Arabidopsis thaliana: one gene and its partner. The protein of the gene in region 1 interacts with the protein of each later gene in a biochemical or structural test. Each region holds a gene or a part of one and is shown on either strand. Other genes may lie near its edges. The genes, in order: LOG2 and RD21A.

Region 1 (4,152 bases):
CACAATTAGATCTAACATATATATATTTGTTCCACTCAAATACAAATCTTGTTAGGGTAACATCACCTCTGAGGAAACGACAAAATGAAGTTAATGAAAGTATTTGGCTTTAGATGGATTCGTAGATAGTACGTGACACGTTGCTGATATGCGGACTTCAGATAAATTATCGGCTAGTATCATAAAGATAATGTAAGGGTCTAAGCATACTCACTAATTAACGAAATATCTTCTTAGAAACACCTGAGCTCGATCTATTTCAATCATAGTGACTCAAACCTAAGAAAATCTTTGACATATGTATATTACATTAGTGTTCCAAGAAGATGCTACGTTCGACGTCATATTTGTTATCCTGTAAATTATAACAAAGATGCATCAACATTCAACAGAGAACAAAGTTTAGTTTTTATATATATATATATGTCACGATCATAGGTCTACATAACTATAAATTGATACAATTGATTTTACAGATTTTACACAACATATGTATCCAACTTGATGATATATCCGGTCTGCCGTTTCCCACTATATATAGAGTATTTTATAATTGATTCCCATTTATTTTTCTTAGTTTATATATGTTCGTCTTTTGGAATTGCTTAATGAAAGTGTGTGCGAGTGGTTAGGTATGCGATTCTATTATGTCTCTTTATTTATTTTTGATTTCGAATCGCACCACTACCTTCGTATGGGAATGTTTCAATATGATATCTATCTGTATATGATCACGAATATAATTTGATTTTGATCAAAATCAACATGTAATATAATTTCACGTAATATCAAACATCCAATAGTTACAGTTTAATCTGGCTACTGAATATATATATATATATATATATATATCTTCCTTTGAAAGAATGTTTATATATTTTTATTCTTTGTGACGTTTTTTTTAGCTAATGGTGATCTCTTGACTCTAAATTCATACAAATTTTTTAAAAAATTAGCTTAGGGTTTTGAAAATATAAAAACTCTTTTAGGGCTTATGTTTTCTTTTTGGTCAACGGAGCTTATGCTTTTGTAGAAACACTAATTTTTAAGACATTAAAGTATACATCAGTTTTGTTTTGTGTTTTGGGTTAAACTTATACACAATTATTCAAAGACGACAAAACAAGTTTAAATATGAATTCCAAAATACCAGTTCATCTTTTCGGACTACTGTATATAAGAATATTATGTTGGCAAAAAGTAGGTTTATTATAGGTTAAAAATAAAAATAAAGTATAGCCTACTTTGTTAGGAATACATATTAAACTTCACACTAATTACTAGTAGATATTTAGGCAATATAAGTCTAGAAGCGGAAAGTAGACAATGCCTATTGCCTAGTATACATTTCGGACAGCACAAGTGACTTTTAACTCTTTAATCACACAGAAGACAGAACTATGCAATGATCGACAACTTCTTCACTCTGTAAAATATTTGGATTTCTCAATTAATGGTTTCTGAAAATAACATCATCTTTTTAAAGCATGAACAAATTAATCCTAATGTAGACCTAAATAAAAATCTTAAGACCATCTTTATCAGTAAAAACAAGGAAAGATTCTAAAAAAAAATAAAAATAATATTTTAATTAAAACAGATACATTAATTATTATTTAATAATTGAATTAATAGTATGATGACACTTGTCCAAATTGGATGAGAATAGTTTCTCAAAGTTTCTCGGAAGAGAAATTCAACTCTCCTTCTCTTCTACTTTTTTTTCCTTCTATCATACTTTTTCTTCTTTAATTATTTTTTTTTTTTATTGGGTATCTTATTGAGATACTTCAAATGGAGATGCTCTAATAATTAATGGGAATGTGTTTCTAATTAAAAAGATAACATCTTTCTTTCTATATTTTTGTCGTCATATAACACACCTCAACTCTTTTAAGTACTCGTGTTGAATTTTGTTTTTTGAAAAGACAAAACTCCTTATAATCAACGTAATTATTAATAACAAGGAGAAAAAAAGTCCAAAGAAAAAAAAAAGAAAGCTTTTTGGGAACATAAACACCATCGAAGGAGGGTGGGAGGTGTTTTATGTTCATGGGTGGAGCTTCTTGGCCAACCTGACCCCATTCATCATATCATTACCCACTTTCTTCTCCTAAATTATTCTCTCTTATCTCTCTCTCTCTCTTTTTATTTTCTTTCTTTCTTAATTCATCTAAACTCTCTCTGCTTTTGCTTTTCGTAATTCCTTACATTTCACTCAATATTAATCCCCAGAATCTCCGATCCACCCACAAATTTAGCAATTTTCTGAGATTTGATCATTTGGGTCACCAAAAAATCTTGTCTTTTTGATCTGGGTTTAACGCCAATAACATATGGGAAACATTAGCAGCAGCGGTGGTGAAGGTAGACGCCGTCGACGGCGAAACCATACGGCGGCTCCACCACCACCTCCTCCTCCTCCTTCTTCTTCTCTTCCTCCACCACCTCTACCTACAGAAATCCAAGCTAATCCCATCGTTTTCGCTGCCGTTACTCCCTATCCTAATCCTAATCCTAATCCGGTTTACCAGTACCCTGCTTCTTACTACCACCATCCTCCCCCGGGAGCCATGCCTCTTCCGCCGTACGACCACCACCTCCAACATCATCCACCGCATCCTTACCACAACCACTCTTGGGCTCCCGTGGCGATGGCCAGATACCCTTATGCTGGTCACATGATGGCTCAACCGACTCCTTACGTTGAACACCAGAAAGCCGTCACGATTCGTAACGACGTTAATCTCAAGAAGGAGTCTCTTAGGCTTGAACCCGACCCGGATAATCCGGGTCGCTTTCTCGTCTCCTTTACGTTTGATGCAACCGTCTCCGGAAGGTAGATTTCACTTTCTCCCTTTCGTTGATTTCGTGATCCATTTGAGCAGATAACACGTGAATTTTGTTGTGTTCTTCCTCGTGACTATGTAATTTGGATCTTCTTATTGCAATTTGATCAAATCTTCTTCATGTGTAATTGAATTAAGCTTATGTTATTATGTTGGACTTGTGAAAAATAGGATTAGTGTCATTTTCTTTGCTAAAGAATCCGAAGATTGCAAACTCACAGCGACAAAGGAAGATATACTGCCACCTATCACTCTAGATTTCGAGAAAGGACTTGGTCAGAAGTTTAAACAATCATCTGGTTCTGGTATAGACTTTTCGGTCTTTGAGGACGTTGAGCTGTTCAAAGCGGCCGCAGACACAGAGATCTATCCATTAGCGGTTAAGGCAGAAGCAGCTCCCTCAGGTGGTGAGAATGAAGAAGAAGAAAGGTCGGGGTCGAAGAATGCGCAGATTACTCAAGCGGTTTATGAGAAGGATAAAGGAGAGATTAAGATTAGAGTGGTGAAGCAGATACTATGGGTTAATGGAACGAGATATGAGTTGCAGGAGATTTATGGGATTGGGAATACAGTTGAGGGGGATGATGATTCAGCTGATGATGCTAATGATCCTGGTAAAGAATGTGTTATATGTTTGTCTGAACCACGAGACACCACTGTTCTTCCATGTCGACATATGGTAAGTGAAAGCTGATGATTTACTACTATTATGTGATGATGGACATATATATAGATGTTAAAAATTGTTTGGGTTTGGTGGTGCAGTGTATGTGTAGCGGATGTGCTAAGGTATTGAGGTTTCAGACAAATCGATGCCCCATTTGCAGGCAACCTGTTGAAAGGCTTTTGGAGATAAAAGTTCACGGTAACAACGGAAGCGGGAATAACACCGGACAGGGAGAAACAGTTGAACAAGAGTAGCTAAACACGGCCGAGTATGGATTGAAATGCCATCGAAATATTAGTAGTATATGCATGTTTGATCCTTGTATGTTAACAACAAAATGTGTGATTGTCAATTCATAATATAGAGATTACGAAATCATTTGGAGTCATAATGACACAATACTTGAAACATTCTTCATTAGATACAACAACAAAGTAGGCAGTTTCTTACTTAGCTAGTTGCTCAACCGGAAGTTGCAGTGGCAGGTGAAGCCATTTTAGTTGCAATAAGACAGAAACTTAAACATGGAAAACACGAGATATAGTAGCGGCAACATGACATTCAATTATATAGCTGACCCCTTCGTTTCTTATTTAAAAGGGGCAATCTCCAACGTTTTGTGGTCAAATGGGCCTG
Region 2 (3,600 bases), on another chromosome or scaffold:
TAGTTCCCCTTAGGCTAGGAGCGTTAGTTGTGTCTCAATGTTTTTGGCCATATGTACACTAGCGTGTAATAAAGTTCTAAAATACTAATTAATGATTCGTTATTCAGTCATATTATACGTTTCACATTAATACTTTTTATTGAATGTATAAATTCCAATATCGTCATCAGTGTATCTCTACACGCAAAACTATTGTTGAGTTTTTTCTTTTCCAAAACTCTAAATTACAATATTATTTTTTTTATTTTGATAAGTATAATATTCGATGTCACTTGAATATAATAATTTTTATTAATTCTCTGACGAAAAAAAGAGAGCAAGTGTTCTATTGTCACAAGCTAACTCTTGAAAGCATTATATTAAAGAAGTTTGAGTAAAATGAATAAATTATAGAAAATATTTTGAGTCTTTTAATTTCGGAAGGAATCATAATAATAGAGACAACAATCTAATTTCATAATGGTAACTTGTAAGACTTTAGATTCTATATTATCAAAAACTCATAAGAATCTCGAGTTACATGTAACAATCCTATCCACGCGTCTTTTACAATACGTGAGAACACGCGCTCCTATTTGTGTGGACATTTTATTTTTGGCTTGCCAATTAGAGATCAGTGACGTCTCATCTCTTCCTACCCATATTGTCTAACCAATAATTGACCATCACATATTCACATTTATAGATTTCATCTTTACACTATTGTTTTTTTTTTCACTTATCAAAATATCTCAACCGACCCTGAAATTAATTAGGATTTTTAAATCGGATTTTGGCTCAAGTTTTTGTTTTTGAATATTTAAGAAAATAAATACAATTAAGTATAAGTTTAGAGATGATTTGTTCATTTATTTGAAGTTTTTGATTTTTTTTTTCTTATTAAAATGACAAAAAGAATGATTTGAGTTCTTTTCTTTTTTGGCTCAAGATTTATTTTGGCCCACTTTTCTTTTCAATATTATTAAGAAAACTTGACTCATAAATTTTTGTTGGGAAAAAGAGGAAATGAGAAAAGGGATAATAATAACAAACAAAAAAATGATTTGATGTTGGTTTGGGTTCCCTCTTTTTAGTTCAAATATAACATGAGTAATAGTGGTAAATGTACATTATTTGAAAAATTGTAAATAATGCACTATTTACTATTTATTATCTGATTTGCTACTCTTTTTTTTTTCAGTTTCAATTATAGTTCAACATGGAGTTATTTTTTTGTCAAACCCCATATGATATCTTATCTACAAAGAAGCCCATAAATCACTTATCTTCATTTATTTTAGATCCACTTATTTTTAATTCTTTTTTTCTGTTTTGATTCCGTTTCAACTTGTTGGATACATATAACTTTTATTGTTTCTCTATCGTATCAAAAAAATAATTTGGATTTTTCCTATCTTTTTTTTCTTCTAACATACGGATTTTTTCCTTTCCGAAATTGAACTTTCTAATAAAAAAATTCGGAACAAGTCACCATTATTTTAGAAAATTAAAAAGAGTGACGAACGAAAACATTAAAATAGAAAACTAACAATTATTACACTTATCTCATTTGGCTTTTATATATACCCCACCACCATCTCTTGTCCATCATACAATCGTCTTCTTCATCATTTTCTCTTCTTCTTCTCCAAGAAAACACTGAAGAAGAAATGGGGTTCCTTAAGCCAACCATGGCGATTCTTTTTCTAGCGATGGTCGCCGTTTCATCAGCCGTGGACATGTCAATCATCTCCTACGACGAGAAACATGGCGTCTCCACCACCGGTGGCCGTAGCGAAGCCGAGGTTATGAGTATCTACGAGGCATGGTTGGTGAAACACGGCAAGGCTCAGAGCCAGAACTCTCTTGTTGAGAAAGATCGACGGTTCGAGATCTTTAAAGACAATCTTCGTTTCGTCGATGAACATAACGAGAAGAATCTTAGTTATAGATTGGGTTTGACTCGTTTTGCGGATCTTACTAACGATGAGTATAGATCCAAGTATCTTGGAGCTAAGATGGAGAAGAAAGGTGAGAGAAGGACTAGCCTACGGTACGAGGCTCGTGTCGGTGATGAGCTACCGGAGTCTATTGACTGGAGGAAGAAAGGAGCCGTGGCTGAGGTCAAAGATCAGGGTGGTTGCGGTAAGTTTCTACTGGATCTAACCATCATTTTTAGTTACTCTTATCGTAGTATATCATTTTTTGATTCAATCATAAAGTTTTGAAACTTTTGGAAAATGACATATTTGCCCCTTCCGGAAATTATGGGTGTTAGTTAGCAAGACAAAACTCAATAAATGAAATTAATAGTACTAATAATTTAACAAATCATCATGTGTATAGGTCATTAGTCATTACTTAATTAGAGACGTTGACTTATAGTCTAGTTATTTTTGCTTGTGAGCTATAGTTGTTTTGTCCTAAGCATAAAAATAAGGTTTTACTTGGTTACAGGCTCACAGCATTTCAAATGTGTACATTTTGGTTATGAATTTCAGTTATAAGGTTTATGAATGAATCTGATTAACTATAACATTAAATTTCGTAGTCATGATTATGTTAGAAATTGCACATTATTTTAGTCCTCCTTACAGAACATTGATATTAGAATATATGTGTTCCTGTTTGATGTTAATGTTTTGTTGTAAGCTGATGTTGTTGACACTTATGATTGGTAATGAAGGGAGTTGTTGGGCGTTTTCAACCATTGGAGCAGTGGAGGGAATAAACCAGATCGTAACCGGAGACCTAATAACCTTGTCTGAACAAGAGTTGGTCGATTGTGACACTTCATACAACGAAGGTTGTAACGGAGGTCTTATGGACTATGCTTTTGAGTTCATTATCAAGAATGGTGGAATCGATACAGACAAAGATTATCCTTACAAGGGTGTTGATGGAACTTGTGACCAGATCAGGGTAAGTACATTGGTTTTTGTTTTGACAAGGAATTACATTTGATTATTAACACAACTTATGATTCTTATATCAATCCTCTTGTGGGTTTCTTGTTACAGAAAAACGCTAAAGTTGTCACTATCGATTCATATGAGGATGTTCCAACTTACAGCGAGGAATCGTTGAAGAAAGCAGTTGCTCATCAACCCATTAGCATTGCCATTGAGGCTGGTGGTCGTGCGTTCCAGCTCTATGATTCGGTACAAATTTAACCATCTTCTCATAGTTCTTAGGTGTTTGTTAGTTTTTATGCATATAAATCCATTTCACTTCTGTTGTTAATTGTATACGCCAATTACAAACGAAAGGAGAAACTCTGTTTGGTGTTTGCGTTTACACTTTACAAAAGAATTCTATGAAAAATTGAAAAAAATGTTGCTAGTGTTTGAAAATGTAAAGTTTTATTCATATATAAACGCATGAAACAATTGCATCTAATAGGTGGTTGAATATTAAGTAGCTTTTCACTATTTTTGGTCTCAAAATGTTCATATTGTTGTTAGTCACCTTTGTCTCTAATGTGTTGATGTGATCTTTTCATCTGAAGGGTATATTTGATGGAAGTTGTGGAACACAACTAGACCACGGAGTTGTGGCGGTTGGATACGGAACTGAGAACGGCAAAGATTACTGGATTGTGAGAAACTCATGGGGTAAAAG

The links.
Region 2: of the proteins of LOG2 (region 1) and RD21A, one has a biochemical effect on the other in vitro, tested with the Arabidopsis thaliana proteins (one study listed by BioGRID).

Annotation. Positions count from the first base shown.
Region 1 is NC_003074.8:2,996,020-3,000,171, reverse strand, and holds LOG2 (RING/U-box superfamily protein), read left to right. Parts: upstream 1-1,916; 5' UTR 1,917-2,336; coding exon 2,337-2,839; intron 2,840-3,020; coding exon 3,021-3,528; coding exon of another isoform or gene 3,529-3,543; exon of another isoform or gene 3,544-3,614; coding exon 3,615-3,770; 3' UTR 3,771-3,993; downstream 3,994-4,152. UniProt on the Arabidopsis thaliana protein: Acts as an E3 ubiquitin-protein ligase, or as part of E3 complex, which accepts ubiquitin from specific E2 ubiquitin-conjugating enzymes and then transfers it to substrates (in vitro).
Region 2 is NC_003070.9:17,283,659-17,287,258, reverse strand, and holds the start of RD21A (Granulin repeat cysteine protease family protein), read left to right. Parts: upstream 1-1,509; 5' UTR 1,510-1,649; coding exon 1,650-2,124; intron 2,125-2,665; coding exon 2,666-2,901; intron 2,902-2,999; coding exon 3,000-3,140; intron 3,141-3,487; coding exon 3,488-3,600.